2 linked regions of the Sus scrofa genome follow. The protein of the gene in region 2 binds, or shares a complex with, the protein of the main gene of each other region. Links are inferred from orthologs where the notes say so. Each region holds a gene or a part of one and is shown on either strand. Other genes may lie near its edges. The genes, in order: MAPK12 and PTPN3.

The links.
Region 1: the proteins of PTPN3 (region 2) and MAPK12 are in contact, whole or in part, in a crystal structure (PDB 4QUM), measured with the Homo sapiens proteins. The link is inferred for Sus scrofa from reciprocal best matches to the Homo sapiens genes PTPN3 and MAPK12. Residues at the interface, in NP_002820.3 of Homo sapiens: Arg655, Leu671, Asn674, Arg675, Tyr676, Lys677, Asp678, Val679, Arg751, His812, Ser843, Ala844, Gly845, Ile846, Gly847, Arg848, Met883, Gln886, Thr887; in NP_002960.2 of Homo sapiens: Met182, Thr183, Gly184, Tyr185, Val186, Val187, Arg189.

The regions. Positions count from the first base shown.
Region 1 is NC_010447.5:425,144-434,530, reverse strand, and holds the start of MAPK12 (mitogen-activated protein kinase 12), read right to left. Parts: upstream 4,897-9,387; 5' UTR 4,685-4,896; coding exon 4,560-4,684; intron 4,493-4,559; coding exon 4,363-4,492; intron 2,174-4,362; coding exon 2,115-2,173; intron 1,373-2,114; coding exon 1,261-1,372; intron 1,167-1,260; coding exon 1,137-1,166; intron 941-1,136; coding exon 893-940; intron 432-892; coding exon 317-431; intron 71-316; coding exon 1-70. Other genes in the region: MAPK11 (mitogen-activated protein kinase 11), read right to left, coding at 7,361-7,558, 7,791-7,964, 8,527-8,606, 8,849-8,920, 9,085-9,199, 9,280-9,327. UniProt on the Homo sapiens protein: Serine/threonine kinase which acts as an essential component of the MAP kinase signal transduction pathway.
Region 2 is NC_010443.5:250,447,014-250,455,824, forward strand, and holds part of PTPN3 (tyrosine-protein phosphatase non-receptor type 3), read right to left. Parts: intron 6,221-8,811; coding exon 6,034-6,220; intron 5,885-6,033; coding exon 5,810-5,884; intron 4,773-5,809; coding exon 4,716-4,772; intron 3,387-4,715; coding exon 3,230-3,386; intron 76-3,229; coding exon 1-75.

The sequences.
Region 1 (9,387 bases), on a different chromosome or scaffold from region 2:
TCGCTGCCTCTGAAGAGCGTCTTTCCTGTGATCATCTCGGCCATGATGCAGCCCACTGACCAGATGTCCACTGGGACAAAAGCCCCTGCATCAGGGCTCGGTGGGCTGGGGAGGGGGGCACACACAGACGGCGGGGGGGGGGGGGCGGAGACAGACGCGGGAGTGGGTGCAGTGGAGGGGGCGCGGCCACAGGTGCCATCAGCCCGCCCGGCCCCGCCCGCCGCAGCCCAGCTCGGCAGGCCCCCAACAGCAGGGGCGCAGGCAGGGCGGCTTGGAGGCTGGGGCGGGGAGGCCCTGAGCCTCCGGCGTTCCTCACCCGTCTGCGTGTAGCGCATCCAATTCAAGATGACCTCAGGTGCCCGGTACCAGCGCGTCACCACATACCCAGTCATCTCGCTGTCGGCCTGTCTGGCCAGGCCGAAGTCCAGGATCTATGGGCAGAATCGGGAAGGTGGGGCACCAGGGGTGGGGGGGCGAGGGCAGCTTGCGGCCCAGGAGACCCGAAGAGGACTGGGCACACCAGGGTCTCCAGGACACCCTCTGGGCTCTGAGGTCACAGCCACGTACCCCTAAGCCTCCCCTTCGGTGCCTCCCCACAGCCAGTCACCCCAAATCCTAGACCAGGCACCCCAGAGGGGTCTCCTTCCCTGCCCTCCTCTCCCCGCTAACCCTGCAGGGCCTGGCGCCACCTCTGGGGAGGCCTCCTCAGCCCAGCCCTGGCTCAAGCCCAGGGAGCCGGGCACACATTCCCCACCAGCAAGGTCCCGCAGGGCCCATCTGCCCATCAACTGCTTGCCAGTGCCTGTGCCAGGCCTCCTGCAGGCCAAGGGCTGAGGGCACGGCAAGCAGCAGGGCAGGTTGAGGGAGGCCCGAGCCCCCAGTTGGCACACACCTTCAGTTCACAGTCCTCATTCACCACCAGGTTGCCAGGCTTCAGGTCCTGCGAACAAAAGACGGCTGTGCAGCACCCCCGCCCGCCCGCCCGCCAGGGTGCAAAGGGGAGGGCCTGGGCCGCGCCCGACCATGGGAGCATCCAGGCCGCTGAGGTGCAGGGGCGTGGGGCCCAGGGCTGTGTGCAGGCCTTGTGCCCCGTCCAGTGAGAAAGGAGGCCCCTGAGCTCGAGGGCCAGGACTCACCCTGTGGATGACACCAGCAGCATGGATGTACTGTGTGGACAGAGTGGGCAGCGGCAGTGAGCTCAGGGGGACCTCAGAGCCCCGGCCCAGCCCCGGGGCTCCACCCCCTGTGACGGCCCCCCACCTTCAGCCCCTTCAGCATCTGGTAGACAAGGAACTGGATTCGGTCGTCACTCAGCTTCTCGTGCTTCATGAGCTTTCCCAGGTCGGTGCCCATGAACGGCATCACCAGGTAACTGCAGGGACCGGGCAGGTAGAGATGGCAGGTGTCACGCCTGGGGGCCCAGGCCCGGGCGACCCTGTCGCCCTGCAGCACCCGGCCTCCAGCTCCCACAGGCCTGCACGGGGCCCCATCCTGCTGGCCCCACGCAGCCCAGCAGGTCACGGCCGTGCTTCGGGGTTTCCTGAAGGGAGCTCGCCTGCTGGGGGTGGCGGGGAGGGCGCAAGAGAGAGAAGGGAAGCGCCCGAGGGCAGGTGGGACAGCAGGACATCTAGGTCAGAGGCGGGGCTGGACAGGTGGAGGGAGAGAGACAGGGAGAGACACACAACGGCCCGCCAGGACACAGAGGCCAGTGTGCGTCCTTGTCCTTCCCAGGCCTTCCCAGGCCTGGCCCTTGGCTCTTGGCTGACAACAGTGTGAGTCCAGGGGTGGCCTCCTGGGCAGCCGCGGGGCAGGCTCAGCAGAGCAGGGCAGCGCTGGGTGCCCTGTGGCGCCCCTCCCCTGCCACCAGCAAAGGTCAATGGCTCCAATTACAGGCCACACACTTAGTGCCAGGGTGCTAGAGCACGGGACTAGCTAACAGATCCTCAGGTCCAAGGCTGGCACCACTGGCACTGGAGGAGGAGGCCCAGGTCCATCAGGCAGTACCTAGCGGTACTGCCTCCAGCCACCCCCCTGCCAACCCCCAACCTGAAGCTGACACCCAGGAGCCACCCAACACCACCTGCTCTGCCGGGCCAGCCCCAGGCGGCACTCACAAGTCTGTAAAATCATCCAGGGTCTCATCAGGCGTGAACACGTCCAGCAGTCCAATCACCTGGGGAGGAGGCCAGAGCACCAGGTTGGCCGGGGACACGGGGGCTCAGACACAGCCTGCTCTGGGCAGGAAAGCCTCCTGCAACTGGCCTGGTCTCCCCCCACCATTCAGGGCCTGGCTCTTGCCCACCAGCAGCTCAACCCAGCCCTGGCACACACGCCCATGGACAAAGGCTATTTTGGGATGGTGACAGCCAGGATCCTCCAGGGGAGGGGCGGCCCCAAGTCTGGGTCAGCTCCCAGGCCATCCAAGGAGCGCCAGCCCCATGGCCCTTCCTCCCCCTCTTGCTGTCCCCACTGAAGACCCAGGACCACTGTGGGGACAGCCTCTCAGGGGAGAGTTCCTTCGAGAGGCTGCGCCTCTGCCAGAGGCCCAGGCAGGCAACACTGTGGCCACATCGACAGCCCTCTGACCAGGGGTGATGGACAGCAGACAGGTAATGTGACAACTGCTACCTGGGGTTCCAGTGACAAGGCCTCCAGGGACCCTGGGAGGCTGAGAATCAGAGTGGCTGGAGGAGCAGGTGGATGTGCTGGCAGGGGGACACCTGGCAGAGGCCAGGCAAATGATGGCCGGGGCAGGAGGGAAATTGCTTGGTGCGTTTGAGGAACACGGGAGAGAGGCCAGGTGGCCAAGGACCAGGCCAAGGAGTAGCCAAGGAGAAGCCGAAGGGAACCCGAGCAGGCCCTCGAACACCAGGGAAGGTTTGCTTTGATCCTAAGAGCCACTGAGGACGGTGAGATGCTGAATGTGTCCCCTGGCTGCTATATGGGGACAAACCAGAGTGAGGTGAAGGTGGATGGGGGTGGAGGGACAGCTAGATGACCAAAGCGGACACCAGAGCCAGAGATGTGGGCGGGGTGGAGGGGACAGAGTGGCACATCCAGAGGGGCCTGGAGGCAGGTGAGCCGAGGGCCCTGGGAGGAGGCTTTGGCAGGAATGGCGGGGGGGGGCAGGTGGTATCCATCAGGTTGATGGAGATCTCTAGGCCTCTGCGGTGCAGACGGGGCCTGGGGCGGGGCGGGGCGGGGCGGGGGGGGGGGGAGGACGGAGGAGCTCACGCGGGTGTGCCACTCGGCCTCACCGAGCCTAGCTCCTCCTAGGAACTGGGTTTAGGAAGCTCTTGGAACAGCCCTGCAGGTTGCAGCGCTCCGCGCTGTGGGTCAGGGGCTCCCCTGGGAGAAGGACCCACTGGTACAGATCGGGGCGGGAGGTAACTGGACAGAAGGCCTGGAGACGGCACTGGAGCAGCAGGTGGTGGGGAGAAGCCGGGTGAGGACTCTGGGAGAGGACAAGCCTGAGTGTGACCAGATGTGACCCAGAGGCAGTAAAGGCCCGGCTGGGCTGGTGAATGGGTGCCACCCGGGAAGGGTCAAGGGTAGAGGAGTCTGAGAGAAAGAAGGACCCTCTCTGCGAGGGGCTGAGAGGTGGGCGTTGGTCAGGAGCCAAGGGGTGAGTTTCCTGGTGGACACGGAGGCTCATTCTCGTGGTTCTGATGAGCCAGGAGGTGCCAGACCACCACGATCAGTCGGGGTCTGGGCGCCCAGATCACCAGCCCTCAGACTGGGCAGGGGTGGCTTGTGTGGGAGGGGACAGAGCTCAAGGCCACAGGCAAACAGCAGGAGCACCCCCAGCAGAGGGAAGGGCTCTTAGCAGCCAGCAGCGTTCCCAGGAGAGGCTTGAGGCAGTTCCGGACGCAACAGACTTTTCCCTGCCGGAGGCTGGGTCCAGCCCCTACCCCAAGGGCTGTGAAATGCACGCCGCTGGACGTGAGGAAGGCGTGTGCCCCGTGTCCTTCGCACACCAGCTCCCCAAGGCCCACACAGGCCCCCTCGGGGCTCCCAGGGCTGGGGCTCAGGAGGTAGAGGGAGCACAGCGGGTTCAGGAAGGGGTGCCCAGAAGAGACACGGTGCCCCTTCCAGAGACTCGCCCCCCACCTGAGGTCGCCTCTCGCCTCGGGGATCCTGCTTGGAGGCGGGACCTGGAGTGAGCCCCCGGGCAAGAGGACGTCGTCCCCTGACCGGGGCCTGGGCCGGGCGGACGAGCCGGATGTGGCCTCGGGAAGGAGCCAAAGACCAGACCGGAGTCCTCTCCAGGGCCTCGCCGCCGCCGAGGGGCTGCGGGCCAGGCGGGCGCGGGCGCGGGGGCGGGGGGGGGGGGCGGGGAGCCGAGGCGACCGCGCGACTCACGTTGTCGTGGCGCATGTGCTTGAGCAGGCGCAGCTCGCGGTAGGCGCGCTTGGCGAACAGCTCGGACTGGAAGGGCCGGTACAGCTTCTTGATGGCCACCTTGGCCCCGGTGCGGGTGTCCACCGCCGAGCTGCGGGACGCACCGCTTAGCGGGAGGGCCGGCCTCGCCGCCCGGCCCCCGCCCGGCCTGCGCTCACCACACGGCGCCGTAGGCGCCCGAGCCCACGGGCTGCAGGTCCTGGTACACGACGCGCACCTCCCAGGCCGTCTTGGTCACCTCCTGGCGGTAAAAGCCCTTGCGGGCGGCCGCCGGGGCGCTCATGGCTGGCCGGGCACCGCCCCGCCGCAGACCCCGCGCCCCGAGGACCCGGGGCCCGGGTTCCGCGGGGCACCCTGGCGCGCGCCCCTGGCCGCGGCGCGGGGCAGAGCCGGCGCCGCGCCGCGCCGCCCGTCGCCGCCGGGGCTCCCCCGCTCCCGGCTCTTGCCTCCGAGCTCTCCGGAGCCGCCGACCCCGGCCCGGGCACAGCGCGGCCCCTCCCCGGCCGGCGCACCAACCGGCCCCGGGGCCGCGCGCACGTGACGCCGCGCCCGCCCTCCGGCCCCTCCGGAAACCTGAGGCGGCCGCCCGCCCGCCCGCCCGCCCCGCCGGAGGCCGGAGCCGGAGCCGGGGGAGGGGACGGAGGGGACGGGGAGCGGCGCCCGCCGCCCCGGCTCGGCCCAGCCCCCGGCGCCCGCCCCTGCCCTTGCGATGAAGCCCGCAGACCTCCAGAGAGGAGGCATCTTAACAGGGGCCGCGTCTCCCGCCTGCAAGCACCGCCCCGGGGCGCTGGCCCACGGCGGGCGGCCCGCCGGAGCTGGGCAACCTCCAGCCCAGCCCATCCCCGATCACTGTCCACCCCCCAGCGCGCCGCCTGGTCGGCCCCAGCTCCGCCGTCCCCAGCACCTGCCTTCCCCCTTCCCCCTTTCCCTAGGAAAAAGTCGGTTCCATCTCCCAAGTCACACAGTTGCAAGTCCCTCTGCCTGTCCTGCCCCTGCCCAGCCTAGGCCCTCTGGTTTGTTCAAAGGCCAGCGGGAGCCTCCTCTCTCTCTCCAGGAAGGTGTGCCTGACCCCAGGGGTGAAGGGGCCTCTCAGTGCCCCGCCCCAGGTGGGGGCTTCATCATTTCATGGGTTTGGCCCCTCCTTGACCCGCTGCTCCTGGAGGACAGAGCCCCCAGTCCTTTCCTTGTCCTGCCCTAGCCCAGTGACCCAGGCGGGAGAGAGAGTGGGGTAAGAAGATCCCCAGGGCCCCCTGCCCCGCCCTCTGTGCCCTGCACCATGAATCAGCAGCTGAGCAGCTCAGGCCTGGCCAGAGCAGCTTTACACCTGGGCTGCCGAGGGCATCTGGGCGCTCTGGAGTGGCCGGCTGGTCAGTGGGAGCAGCCTGGGGTCACTGGAGCCACCACCGCCTCTCCCCAGGTGCTTCATGCCCTGGGCTGCCTGTGGCACTCTGCCTGCCTCCTCCAGGAAGCCCCCAGCAGTCCAGAGGTTTCTGCGTCAGACCAGACTCCCCGGTGAGGCATGTCCCAGTTCTGCTCCTGTTCGCCCCCGGCCCCCCGCCCAGGACTGGACCCAGCCTGGTCTCCAGGGGTTTTCCAGGACCAGAAGCCCAGTACCCGCACCACCCAGGCCTCTGGAGGCCCACCTCCCCAGTGGTCTGCACCCCAAGGCCTAGGCAGAGACATAGGCTGTCCCTGTCCTGCGGATACCCTGCCTGATTCCCCCTGGGGGTGTGCCTGTGGGCTGAAGCAGCCCGCCATCTCCCTGGCCCTGGGAGGGGCAGGCCTTTGCTCTCAGAGACCCCCGCTGCCCCCCACGTCTTCCCTGACCACTGGGTGAGGGGGCAGGTCTGGATCTGGACCAGAGCCCGTGCAGTAAACCCCGGCAGGACAGACAGCATCCCTCACTCTCAGCGAGCAGGGAAGATGCTGAGACCGCTGCTTGTCTGTCCAAGGACTGGAAGAATGGGGCCATCCCTCCAGGCCGTGGGGACAGCGGGCAGCAGGCCCTGGAGCCCAAGACACAAGCTGAGCGAGAGAGGACCCCTTTTATTGTGAAACCCTGGGGCAGGCACTTGACATTCAGATCTCCCTGATCCCGCAAGGCCAGGGGTCACCCCCCAGCCCGCCTGACAGAGAAGCCCCTTGAGGGAGGACCTGCACCCCCAGTGCATTTCGAGCAGAGGCTGGAGGTCAGCTGCACCCTGGAGGGGCAAGACAGGGCTGCCCTGCAGACGTAGAGCGGGCAGAGGTTTTCTTCAGGAGCTCTGGGCCAGGGGCCAGGATCCGAGTCCATACCAGAGTGTGGGTCCTCCATGCTGGAGCCCCCAGGCCTGCCAGCCCCCCAGCTGGCATGGTGCCCTCGGGCCTCTGGAACCTGCTGCAGATCCCATGCCCAAGGAGACAGGATCCTTTTGCTCACATGGCTGACCCTGGTCACCTCGCCCCTGGCCGGCAGCACGGCTCCCACCCCAGGACCTGGGGGGGTGGGCAATAGTGAGCCACTGCCACTGCCGCCCCAACTTGGGCCTCCTGCTGGTCATGGTCGCTGGCCTTTGGATGCCCTCAGGTCCACACATGCCTGCATCTGCTTTGACATGTGAATCCCAGGTGTGCCCAAGATAGCACAGGTGAACACATGGCTCCAGGCAGCTGTCCCCACCTGCCCCCCAGGGAAGATTCGGCTCAGCACTTTGCAGGGCAGCCCCTTCCCGCTGAGCGGCTCTGACCACCCAGACTTTTGTCTCCAGGAGGCTGGGCCCCAAAGCACCACCCCCCCCGCCCCGCCGACCATGCGACAGCCCTCTTCGGCTCAGGAGACTGGAAACAGACACCATCCCCGGGGGGTGCTAGGGCACCCAGGTCCCCCACAGTGAGGTCCCGAGGGAGACTCAGGTTGCTGGGAGCGGGTCGGGGACCAAGGAAGTCCTGACAGCTCTGCCCAGACTCCCACGTCGGTGGCTCACACATGAGCATCCAAGCGTGCAAACTTGCCCCAAGGAGTGTCGCATAGACAAGGGGTCCTGGGAGGCAGGCTGAGGGAGGGGGCAGGCCGGCTCAGGCCCTGCCTTGAGGTCGCCTCACTGCTCAACCTCCAGGCTGCCAGGTGGCCGCGGTGGCTCCGGGGGCTTGAAGCTGAGGACCTCCTGGTAGGTGAGCTCTGCGGGGGGAGCGGAAGGGTGAGTTCAGGCCCCCAGCAGCCCAGGCGCTTGGGCTCCTTCCTGGGCCTGCCTTGCGTTGCCTCTGAGCCTCCGATGGACACACCAGACCCCTGGAGTGGGGCGGGGGCACCTTGTCACCCACCCAGACCACTCTCCAGAGGAACTGGAGCACTCTGTGCAGAAAACAGGCAGCGCCCGGCCCAAGGGGCCCACGGCCCCACCCCCACCCACCCTTCCACTCCTCCGCCGTGCGCTCCTTGGCCTCGATGCTCTCATCGTAGGGCTCTGCTTCCGGCTCATCCTCCGGGTCGTGGTACTGGCTGAAGTAGGCGTGCGACAGGGCCTCGGCCGCGCTGACCCTCTGGTCACTGTCCAGCACCAGCATCCTTCCCAGGAGGTCCACAGCTGCGGGGTGGCCCGGGGGGTCAGCGCCACGTCCGGGCGAGACGTGCAGCCCATGCCCCAGGGCCCACGCTCACCCAGGGGGTTGGCGCCACGGAAGATGCTCCTGAGATCCTTCTGGGGCACGGGGGGCAGCGACTGGATGTACGCCCGGGCCTAGCGGCGTGTGGAGGGGGCTGCTCAGGGCCCACCTCCCCGGGCCTCAGCCAGGCAGGGGCTTGCCAAGAGAAGCCCCCAGACCCGTTCACTCCAACAGGCCTGAGCAAGGGCAGGTGCTGACCAGAGACCTTCCCACTCTGGATCTGGCAGCTCCAGCCCCTCGCCCGGCCCCGATGTCTGGAGGACCTGGGCCTGGTGCCACTCCACTGCCCTGGCCAGGGCATGCCGAGATTTTACCCTCCCTGGCCCTCACGCCAGGAATCCCCGAAGGGGTCAGGTGCCTGCCTTGAGGTCTATTCCACCGTGAGCCGTGCTCCCCACACGGGGCACCTATTCCCACAGCGCCCCTTCCTCTGGAGTGCCCAGGGGCTTGGTCAGCAGAGGGAGCCGGTGGCCGACGACTCACGTGTTCCGAGGATATCTTCGCTAGAACCTCAGGGCTGGGTGTGCCCACCACCTCCATGATGCGCTTCAGCTGGTCGATGTCTGCTTGGCTCAGGAAAGGGCCGGCAGCCGGGCATGGACCCTCCCCAGGAGCCCAGACCCAAGACCTGGGGCACTGCCAGGAGCCTGCTCTCCTATAGCTGGGGGACAGTGAGCCCAAGGCGACATGGCGGGGGCAGAGGAGGCGAGACTGGCCAGAAAGGGCCAGAGCCCACCTCCCTCGACCCCCACCCGGCAGGAGGGGGCCCTGGCTCAACCCTCCTCCCTAACCGGGCCAAGGATACAGTCATTTCCTGGGAAGAGGGCCTTTCCCTGGAGCAGCTCGGCCATGATGCAGCCCACAGACCAGATGTCCACTGTGAGAGGAGGCGTCCCCATTAGCCTGCCCACCCGAGGCCCCGCCTTGGAGAGGCAGCTGGGACTGCACCCGCCCAGAGGCCCCTCAGCCACCCCCCCACCCCCAGAGAGCCTTGGCCTCCGGGTCCCACTGCGCCCTCCGCAGGCCGCCGGCTGATGTCACCTGTCTGGTTGTAATGCATCCAGTTCAGCATGATCTCGGGGGCACGGTACCAGCGAGTGGCCACGTAGCCAGTCATCTCCTCGTCGGCCTGGCGCGCGAGCCCGAAGTCCAGGATCTGCGGGGACCCCCGGGGCTGTTGGTGCCTCTGGGTCTCCCCTTCCCGCCCGCCAGTCTGGCCCGGCCCCTGTGGCTCACCCGCAGCTCGCAGTCCTCGTTCACGGCCACATTGCTGGGCTTCAGGTCCTGCAGGGCGGGCGGCCAGAGCGGCGTGAGCGAGGAACGCAGCCTGGGCAGGAGCCCCGC
Region 2 (8,811 bases):
ACATGGGGAAAATGGCCTCTGGGAAGAGCTGGTTCAGTTCGTCTTCAGATTTGATATCAGCAAATGAGTGGACCGCTGCAGTGGACGAGAAGGAACGTGTCGGGCCTGTGCAGCCACACGCTGGGGGATCGGTTTCCTCCCCCCAATTACACTTATGACACCTGAATGCAGATGGTTTAAAACATCTTATTAAATGATTAAGCACATGGTAATCATTTTCACCAACGACACTTCTTGTTGAATGATTCAATATGTGCTAATTATACAAAATGACATACTAATCTTTCTGGTTAGTTTTAAATGATGGTGTTTAGTACTCAGAGGCTTTTGCCAAAGGTATGAGAAAGGGAATGACTGTTTTTAAAGAACAGAGATCAGAGTTCCTGTTGTGGTGCAGCAGAAACAAATGTGACTAGTATCCATAAAGATAAGGGTTCAATTTCTGGCCCTGCTCAGTGGGTTAAGGATCCGGTGTTGCTGTGAGCTGTGGTGCAGGTCGCAGACATGGCTCGGATCCCGAGTTGCTGTGGCTATGGCCGGCAGCTGTGGGTCCGATTCAACCCCTAGCCTGAGAACTTCCATATGCCCTATGGGTGCGGCCCTAAAAAGCCAAAAAAAAAAAAAAGAACAGAGATCTTCTCCTGTTACTGTCTCTGAGCTGGTTATTCTTCTACCCCTGTTCTTCCCGAACCGTGTCTTCGGCCTACACCACAGCTCATGGCAATGCCGGATCCTTAACCCACTGAGCGAGGTCATGAACTAAACCCGCAACCTCATGGATCCCAGTTGGACTTGCTTCCGCTGCGCCACGATGGGAATCCCATGGGTCCCTTTTATCTGCTCCTTTAAAACAGGCATTTTCCCAGAAACTGGTGTGGGGTCTGGTGCTCTCTCCACACTGCCACTGTCCCACAGAGCTCAGGTGGTGTCTCTAACTCAGGCCACTGTTAGGAGGGAGGCCGCCCAGATAAACATCTCTAGTCTGTGTTTCCTCTTTGGAACAAATTCTCCCTTCATGCAGACTCAATATGGGTTAAAAAAAAAAAAGGCCAAGGGCCCTTCCTTCCCCACCATGCACAATACGTCCCGGCCTCATATGCTTCTTTCTGTCTATGTCACTTCCTTCTCCACTCTCTTAAAGGGAAGACTTTGAGCTCATCTCTGAATTTTTCCCTTTCTACCCAGAAACAGAAGTCACTCCCTTTCGCAATAGCCTTCAATGGCTCCCTACTGCCTTCAAGATAACAGGAAAGAAGGAGGCAACAACTTTGGGTTTTCCCACAGAGTTGAACTGAATCCTCACAGTACTGAAGCAGGTGTCATTATTCCCATCTTGCAGATGAGGAAACTGATTCAAAGGGCAAGAGTTTTAAGTCCACATCTGGCTGACCCGAAAGACCACATTCTTTTCACTGACCAAAGAAGCTCAGTTCTTCTACTTATTTTTGTGGGTTTTGTCATATGTGCTCCCCCGCCCCGTCCCGTTACTATTTACTTATTTTTCTTTCAATCATTTTTTACTTAAATGTTTATTTTTAAAATGAACTCACTGGAGTTCCCATCCCGTGGCTCAGGAGTAACAAACCCGACTCACATCCATGAGGATGAGGGTTTGATCCCTGGCCTTGCTCAGTGGGTTAAGGATCCAGCGTTTCTGTGAGCTATGGTGTAGGTTACAGACATGGTTTGGATCTGGTGTGGCTGTGGCATAGGCTGGCAGCTTCAGCTCCAATTTGACCTCTAGCCTGGGAACTTCCATATGCTGCAGGTGTGGCCCTAAAAAGACAAAAAAAAAAAAAAAAAAAGAACTTACTTTCATTACAGTTACAGGAAACCTTTTATGCACTTCCCTTTAGGCTCTACTAGTCTACAAGTATCTGTTTTTCTCACCTCAAAGCGTATTATACATTAAAGCCTGATACAAGTTCTGATTCTTCTTCTGTAAGGTCGAATGGGGCTCCATTAGTTTCTGCTACAGACACTGGCCCCTTGCCATGGGCTGGTGGTGGGCCCCCTCCCTGGCTTGGCCAGGGTGCTCCTGGGAAGAACCCCAGATTTGGCCAGCGGGTCACAGGGCACTGCATGTGATAGAGAGGTCTGCTCCCAACTGCTGGATTCCTTCCGTCCCTATTATCATGGGGCCTCACCAGACACATGGCAGCAGGGCAACTTAACCTCTCCGTGACTGCTGTTCCCATTTAGAGATAATAACACTAACCTACGAGAACATTTTAAGAATTGAATGGGATAATTAGTAAAGCAATTGACATGGTGTAGGCCCTCTGCTGGTGCTGCAGAGACATCAGCCACTGTCACGAGTGATACCTACTGTGTGCCCAGCATGGAGCTGGGTTTGGAGGGGATGGGGTGAGACGAGGTGGGAAGGGTTTTGGAGAGATCAGGTGGGGCCCTCACGGAGGAGGTGGGGTGAGAGCTGGCACTGGGAGCATCACCGGGAACAGAGAAGGCAGTGAGGCCACAACAGGGATGCAGGGCCAGGGCTTGAGCCACATACTTCATTTACCTTCAGTATTTGAAGCCGGGCAGGAGGATCCAAGGCTAACTGCTTTATAACAACCACCACCACCACAACAACAGTAATAGTATTCAACAGAGGCTGCCCTTCAAATGCCCACCAAGTACGGGGCAGCGTCCTTGTTGCTTTTCAGTATGAGTATTACTGAATCTTCACAGGAATCCAGAGGCAGCAACTGTGTTATCCTCATTTTACTTTAGTGGAAACGGAGACAGACTGGGCAAGAAACTCCTACTGGGCAAGGTCCCTGGGCCCAGTAGGAGGCAGGGTTAGAACAGCCCCAAGGCAGTCAGCCTCCTGCCCTACTCAGCTTACTGTCTCTCCAACAAAACCAAATGCACATGAATAAAATATAACCTGATCTGCTGAGATGGGGATGATTATGCAAAGGCAGACGGGGCCAGGCAGCTAAGCGGGGTGCACGATGTGGGCTGAGTCCGGCTGGGAGGAACGCGGGGCTCGTGCCCTGTATAAAAGGGGGTGGGTGCTGCCTACTTGCCGAGCACTGGCCATGAGGGGTAGGGTGTTGGGTGGGCAGGTCTCCACATTTTTCAAGTGAAAAGTCAGCCAGCAGGTTGTCATGGGAAAGGTCTGGCTTGTCCGATGTTGGCTACGAGCTCAACATCTCAACACCTCGGAAGGGGCGGGAGAAGGCCCTCTTCGCTAAGGCGCCTCTCCGTGGGTGGCCCTTACCTTTCCTCCGGATCACCAGGACCAGCTCCCGCGTGTGTGACTCCCGGCTGGCTTTGATGAACATCACCACTTGGTCATGGGTGTGTTCGGAGATGTCCCGGCCGTTGATCAGCACGATTTGATCCCCTTCGTTCAGCTTAGGAATGCAGGTGTCCGCCTGCGTGCGGGGAAAGAGAGAGGCGAGTTTCTTCCGTTACCATAACGCACGCCTCAGGGGATGAACCCGATGCTTTCTGAGCCCGGACACTTGGGACCGTGACCAAGTGCTCCTTCTCTCCCTCAGGCATTCCCTTCTTTATTCTTACAGCCACTGCTGTGTTGACATGGTAGCTGGTTGTGGGGTTTTAAAGAAGGACCTCAGTTATGAACCACGGCAGAATAAGGCTAAGAAAAAGACGGAGGTCATTTCTCTACGGTAGCCAGTCTGCACTTACTACTGTAATGTCATAACGGCAACGAGGCCTCCATCCTTCGTTTTCTAGATGTGCTGTTAGAAAATGATCTGTCGGCTGAACATGACAATTTTCTACCTGGTGATGGAGAAAGCCTTTGCAAGCACAACCCCAAGGGCAGAAACCATTATGGAGAGAAGTGATGCTCTGAACCGTGTGGGAATAAAAGCCTTCTTAACACGCAGAGGCCACACGCAGTTAGGAAAAAGTCGACCACAAGCTTAAAGGCTACTTAAGAGTAAAACCTTCAAACGGGTACCTTCTTAGGAAGCATGGGGTCTCTCTGGTGCTCACTGCTTTAAAAAGGCCAATCAGGAGTTCCTGTCGTGGCGCAGTGGTTAACGAATCTGACTAGAAACCATGAGGCTGCGGGTTCAATCCCTGGCCTTGCTCAGTGGGTTAAGGATCCGGCGTTACCGTGAGCTGTGGTGTAGGTTGCAGATGTGGCTCGGATCCCGCGTTGCTGTGGCTCTGGCGTAGGCCGGCGGCTGCAGCTCTGATTCGACCCCTAGCCTGGGAACCTCCATATGTCACAGGAGTGGCCCTAGAAAAGGCAGACAAAAAAAAAAAAAAAAAAAAAAAAAAAAAAAAGGCTAATTATCTCTTAGCTGCCTAGAGGCCCAGACACAGGAAGGGGCACAAGGGCTGAATGACCCACGAGCCCACTCAGAGCGAGCAGAACAGCAAACTCTAGGCTCCAGTTTCCGTCTCTTGAGGGGCCTTCTACATTTTAACCTGCACACTGATCACCTGGAGATCTTGTTAAAAATGCAGATTCTGGTCCAGGAGGTCGGGGGTGGGGCCCGAGAGTCTGCATTTCTAATGAGCTCTCAGGTGACAGTGCTGCAGCTTCGGGGACCACCCTGAGCAGCAAGGTGCTGGAAAACACGGGTGCCATTCTTTCTTCCCATCTACATGAGTGAGCTTACACACACTCTCTGCTGCGGGTAAGAAAGAAGCAGGACACAGAAAATGGAAATCTTTTACATCTAGGGGAAAGCAAACTTGGGAAATAATGGAACACATTTACTTACAGGTGACTCTGGGTTTATCCTTGATACCACAAGAGGCATTTTTTGATCCACTCCTCCCTGTAAATATGTACATTAAAAAGAAAAAAAAAAAAAACACTTGGGTCGTTCACAGCAACAAAGACAGGCAGATATCTCTAACACAAGGGAGGGCTCAAATCTTCACCTTAACCCATTCTAATCCCAGGGGTTGGCGACTTTCAGAATGACATGGTTTCTGACCCCCTGGTCTACTGGACTGGCCAGAAGGCTGCTCAGAAGCTTCCCACTGCCATCCCCACCTTCCCCCGACTAAAGATGTACTTGGAAGAACAAGGCTCCTTGCAAAAACTGCACATATCCCCGGGAGAAGGACTCCGAGAGCAAAGCTTCTAAGTGCTGCTGGAAAGGGAGTCTTCAGGGGAGGAGAGAGAAGCTGTAGAAAGGTGTCAAGCTGTGAGGGCTTCTGACTGCTGAGAACGGGTTGCCAGAAGGGCTGCTACGGTATCAGAAAAGAGTGTGTGATGACAGCTGTGGGGTGGGCAGCAAAGGCCACCTGCCCTCACTGTGCTCTCAGGAGGGGCTGGTAAACATTTTCTGCAAAGGGACAAAGGGCTCTGTCACATCTCCTCAACTCTGCTACCCAAGTCCCAAGGGAGTCATAAACCATTTGTGAGTAAATGGGTGTGGCTGTGTTCTAATAAAACTTTATTTATAAAAACAGATGGGACTTGGTCCACAGGCCACAGTTTGCAGAGACACAGAAGGGGGAGATGGCTCTGGACTTGAACCATGGCTCTCTCCTGGCAATGCTGAGGGGGTCCCATCTCTCTGAGCCTTAGTGGGTTTTAAAATAGGCTTAAACACACCAACTTCTGCGCTTAATAGAAGAATTCAATAAGGTGATTTAATAAGTACACGGCAGACACCAAGCACAGACCAGGCAGTTGATAGGAGGCAGCTGCCGTGGCCACATAAAGAGCCTCCAGTTCTGAGGGCTGAGCCGATTTCCTCATGCAGCCTGAGGAGGTGGGTGGTACATTTCTGATAGAAGTTAGAACGTCGCCTAGAGGGGGCTTCAGAGCACAAAACGTTCTTTGAAATCACACACAACGTACCTTTAGATTAAATCCAAATTTCCCCTCTTCATCAGGCGTGATGCGGATCAAGACTAAGTAGCCGTCACCGTCGTTCTGGAAAATGATGGAAAATCATCCATTAGGTGATTTCCCTCTCCGGTGGGTGGTTCGAAGCTACTTTCTTGGAGTCACAACCACTCACTGGCCCGTGAGGCACCCCCCCACACACACACACAGGAAGCCCGCGGGGTCGGCTGGCACACCTTATCACAGTAGTACTGGCTGGAGTCCTCAGTGGAGCCGCCTTTAGTCACCCTGTGGAAGTCCTCTAAGAACTGCTGATCGACGCCATCCGGGGAGCAGGAGCCTGGAGCGTTGGAAGATGGAGATGCAGAACTGGATGACTTCTGGGTCAGGCAGCCGTGTGCTGCGTTGTTCTCGGATATGCTCCTTCGTTGTGGGGAAGGAAGGGATGTATTAATAACTGGATGACTATTTTATCAGGGCAAACATTTCTGACTGTGGGTCCTAGCATCTCATGGCTGTCACCAATCCTTGGAACCTTAGAAGCACTGCAACGGTCAAGTCCAGGGCTCGGGCACACCAAGAGTCCACGGGCTACTCATGCCCCCATCTGGCCTAAATATCATCACTGTTAGTTTGGGGGAAAGGGGGCAGGAGGGCAGGGCAGTGCCAGGAACTGCTGAAAACTCAGCTGCCTCAGAAGGGTCATGGGGAAACATGCCCAGCTAGTCTGGTGCTTAATTTTTTTTTTTTTTTTTTTTTTTTTGGTCTTTTGTTTTCATAGGGCCGCAACCGTGGCATATGGAGGTTCCCATGCTAGGGATCTAATTGGAGCTGTTGCTGCTGGCCTACGCCAGAGCCACAACAACGCCAGATCAGAGACGCGTCTGTGACCTACAACCACAGCTCACGGCAACGCCAGATCCTTAACCCACTAAGCAAGGCCAGGAATTGAACCCTCAACCTCACGGTTCCTAGTCGGATTCGTTTCCACTGTGCCACGATGGGAACCCCCTGGTGGTTAATTTTTGAAACTCATTTAGATGCATGTTGCTCCATGCCCTCTAAAAGCTTTTTCCTTGTGGCATATGGAAGTTCCCAGGCTAGGGGTTAAAGCAGAGCCATAGGTGCCAGCCACAGCCACAGCCACAGCCACACCAGATCTGAGCCAGTGTGTGACCTGCACCACAGCTCACAGTAACACCAGGTCCCTGACCCACTGGTGAGGTCAGGGATCGAAGCTGCATCCTCATGGATACTACTCAGATTCATTTCCACTGCACCACAACAAGAACGCCTAACAGCGCAGTTAGAGAACACGTCCATCATTGCAGGAAGTTCTACTGGGTGGTGTTGTCTTCAAGAATTATGGACTATTAGAACTGAACAGACCTCTGTGGTCATCTGGTCCAGCTCCCATTTCGCAGATGGAGAAATTGGTCAAGAGGCACCGAGTGGGGGAGTTCCCCTTGTGGTGCAGGGGAAACAAATCTGACTAGGAACCATGAGGTTGCAGGTTTGATCCCTGGCCTCGCTCAGTGGGTTAAGGATCCGGCGTTGCCGTGTAGGTCACAGACGCGGCTCAGATCTGGTGCTGCTGTGGCTGTGGCGTAGGCCAGTGGTTATAGCTCTGATTCGAACCCTAGCCTGGGACCTTCCATGTGCCGTGGGTGTGGCCCTAAAAAGCCAAAAAAAAAAAAAAAAAAAAAAAAAAAGAGAGAGAGATGCCGAGTGACTTGCCCAAGGTCACACGGCTTTCCCCTCACCTGACAAACAGAAGTCTGAAGACCATGAGTCCCCGAGGACCCCTCTCCTCTCCAGGCCATCCACATCTGCTCCTAAGACCCTTTTTTCTAACCTCACAGGACCTAACCGTACAGGACACGCAGCTTCTCTGCATCACGCACACCCACGCTGGACCCCCTCCAGAGCCACGGGCCTCACAAAAGATGCCTTAAACCGCCTACAGAATAAGGGCTGGCCTTGAGTTCCATAGACTCCTCCACATTCTCATCTCATTCAAGGTTAAGTGATAGGAAAGGTAAGTAGACAAGACATTCAGTGAAACAAACAGAGAAAAGACAAACCTTTATTTCAGGTCCTTATCCATGGAGTGTTCATTAAAACAGTGCTCCTCTGTCTCTTAGTAAGTTCAAATTAGCTTACCTTTTTTTTTTTTTTTTTTTTTTTTTTGCTTTTTAGGGCCACACTTGCAGCATATGGAGGTTCCCAGGCTAGGGGTTGAATTGGAGCTATAGCTGCCAGCCTACGCCACAGCCACAGCCACAACAACTTGGGATCCGAGCTGCGCCTGCGACCTACACCACAGCTCGTGGCAACGTCGGATCCTTAACCCACTGAGCGAGGCCAGGGATGAAACCTGCATCTTCATGGATCCTAGTCGGGTTCGTCATGAAAGGAGCTCCAAAATTAGCTTACTTTAGATGTAAAACCCATATCATAGTCACACAGAATGATTCACAAGCTCCATTCATTTGAATACAAACATTCAGTGACAGACCAGTGTAGAAACAGAGCACTTCTTGCAAGAGAAGAGATTGGCCTTAAGGTTTTCAAGTTACCAGTCAAGGGGTGTTATGTATGGGAAGGCATTACAGAGGGCATTACATTACAGAAGGCATTACATTTTGGAATGGAAGCTATATACTAGTCTAAATAAGACTTTAATTTACTAAAACGAAGCTTAAAAAAGTCTCCCCAAGAAGAGCAGCTTTGCTGTTTTGATGTTTACAAGAGCGCCTCCCAGTGGCATAAAGGGAAACGTGGCAGTTGCTAAACAAGATAAAGCCAAAGGGGTTTAGGAAATGCTATTTCTAGCACTAGAGGTGGATCTGAGCCTTTAACCTGAAGCTGCAAATAGCATTCATACTTCAAACATTTGGAAGAATCTGGAGACGGGAGCCACGGAAAGAGTGAAGATCTGTAAACAGAAGAGCAAGGTGACAAAGCAGAAGAGGACAAACTTTTCAGTAAACTGCAATATATTTTTGTATGCA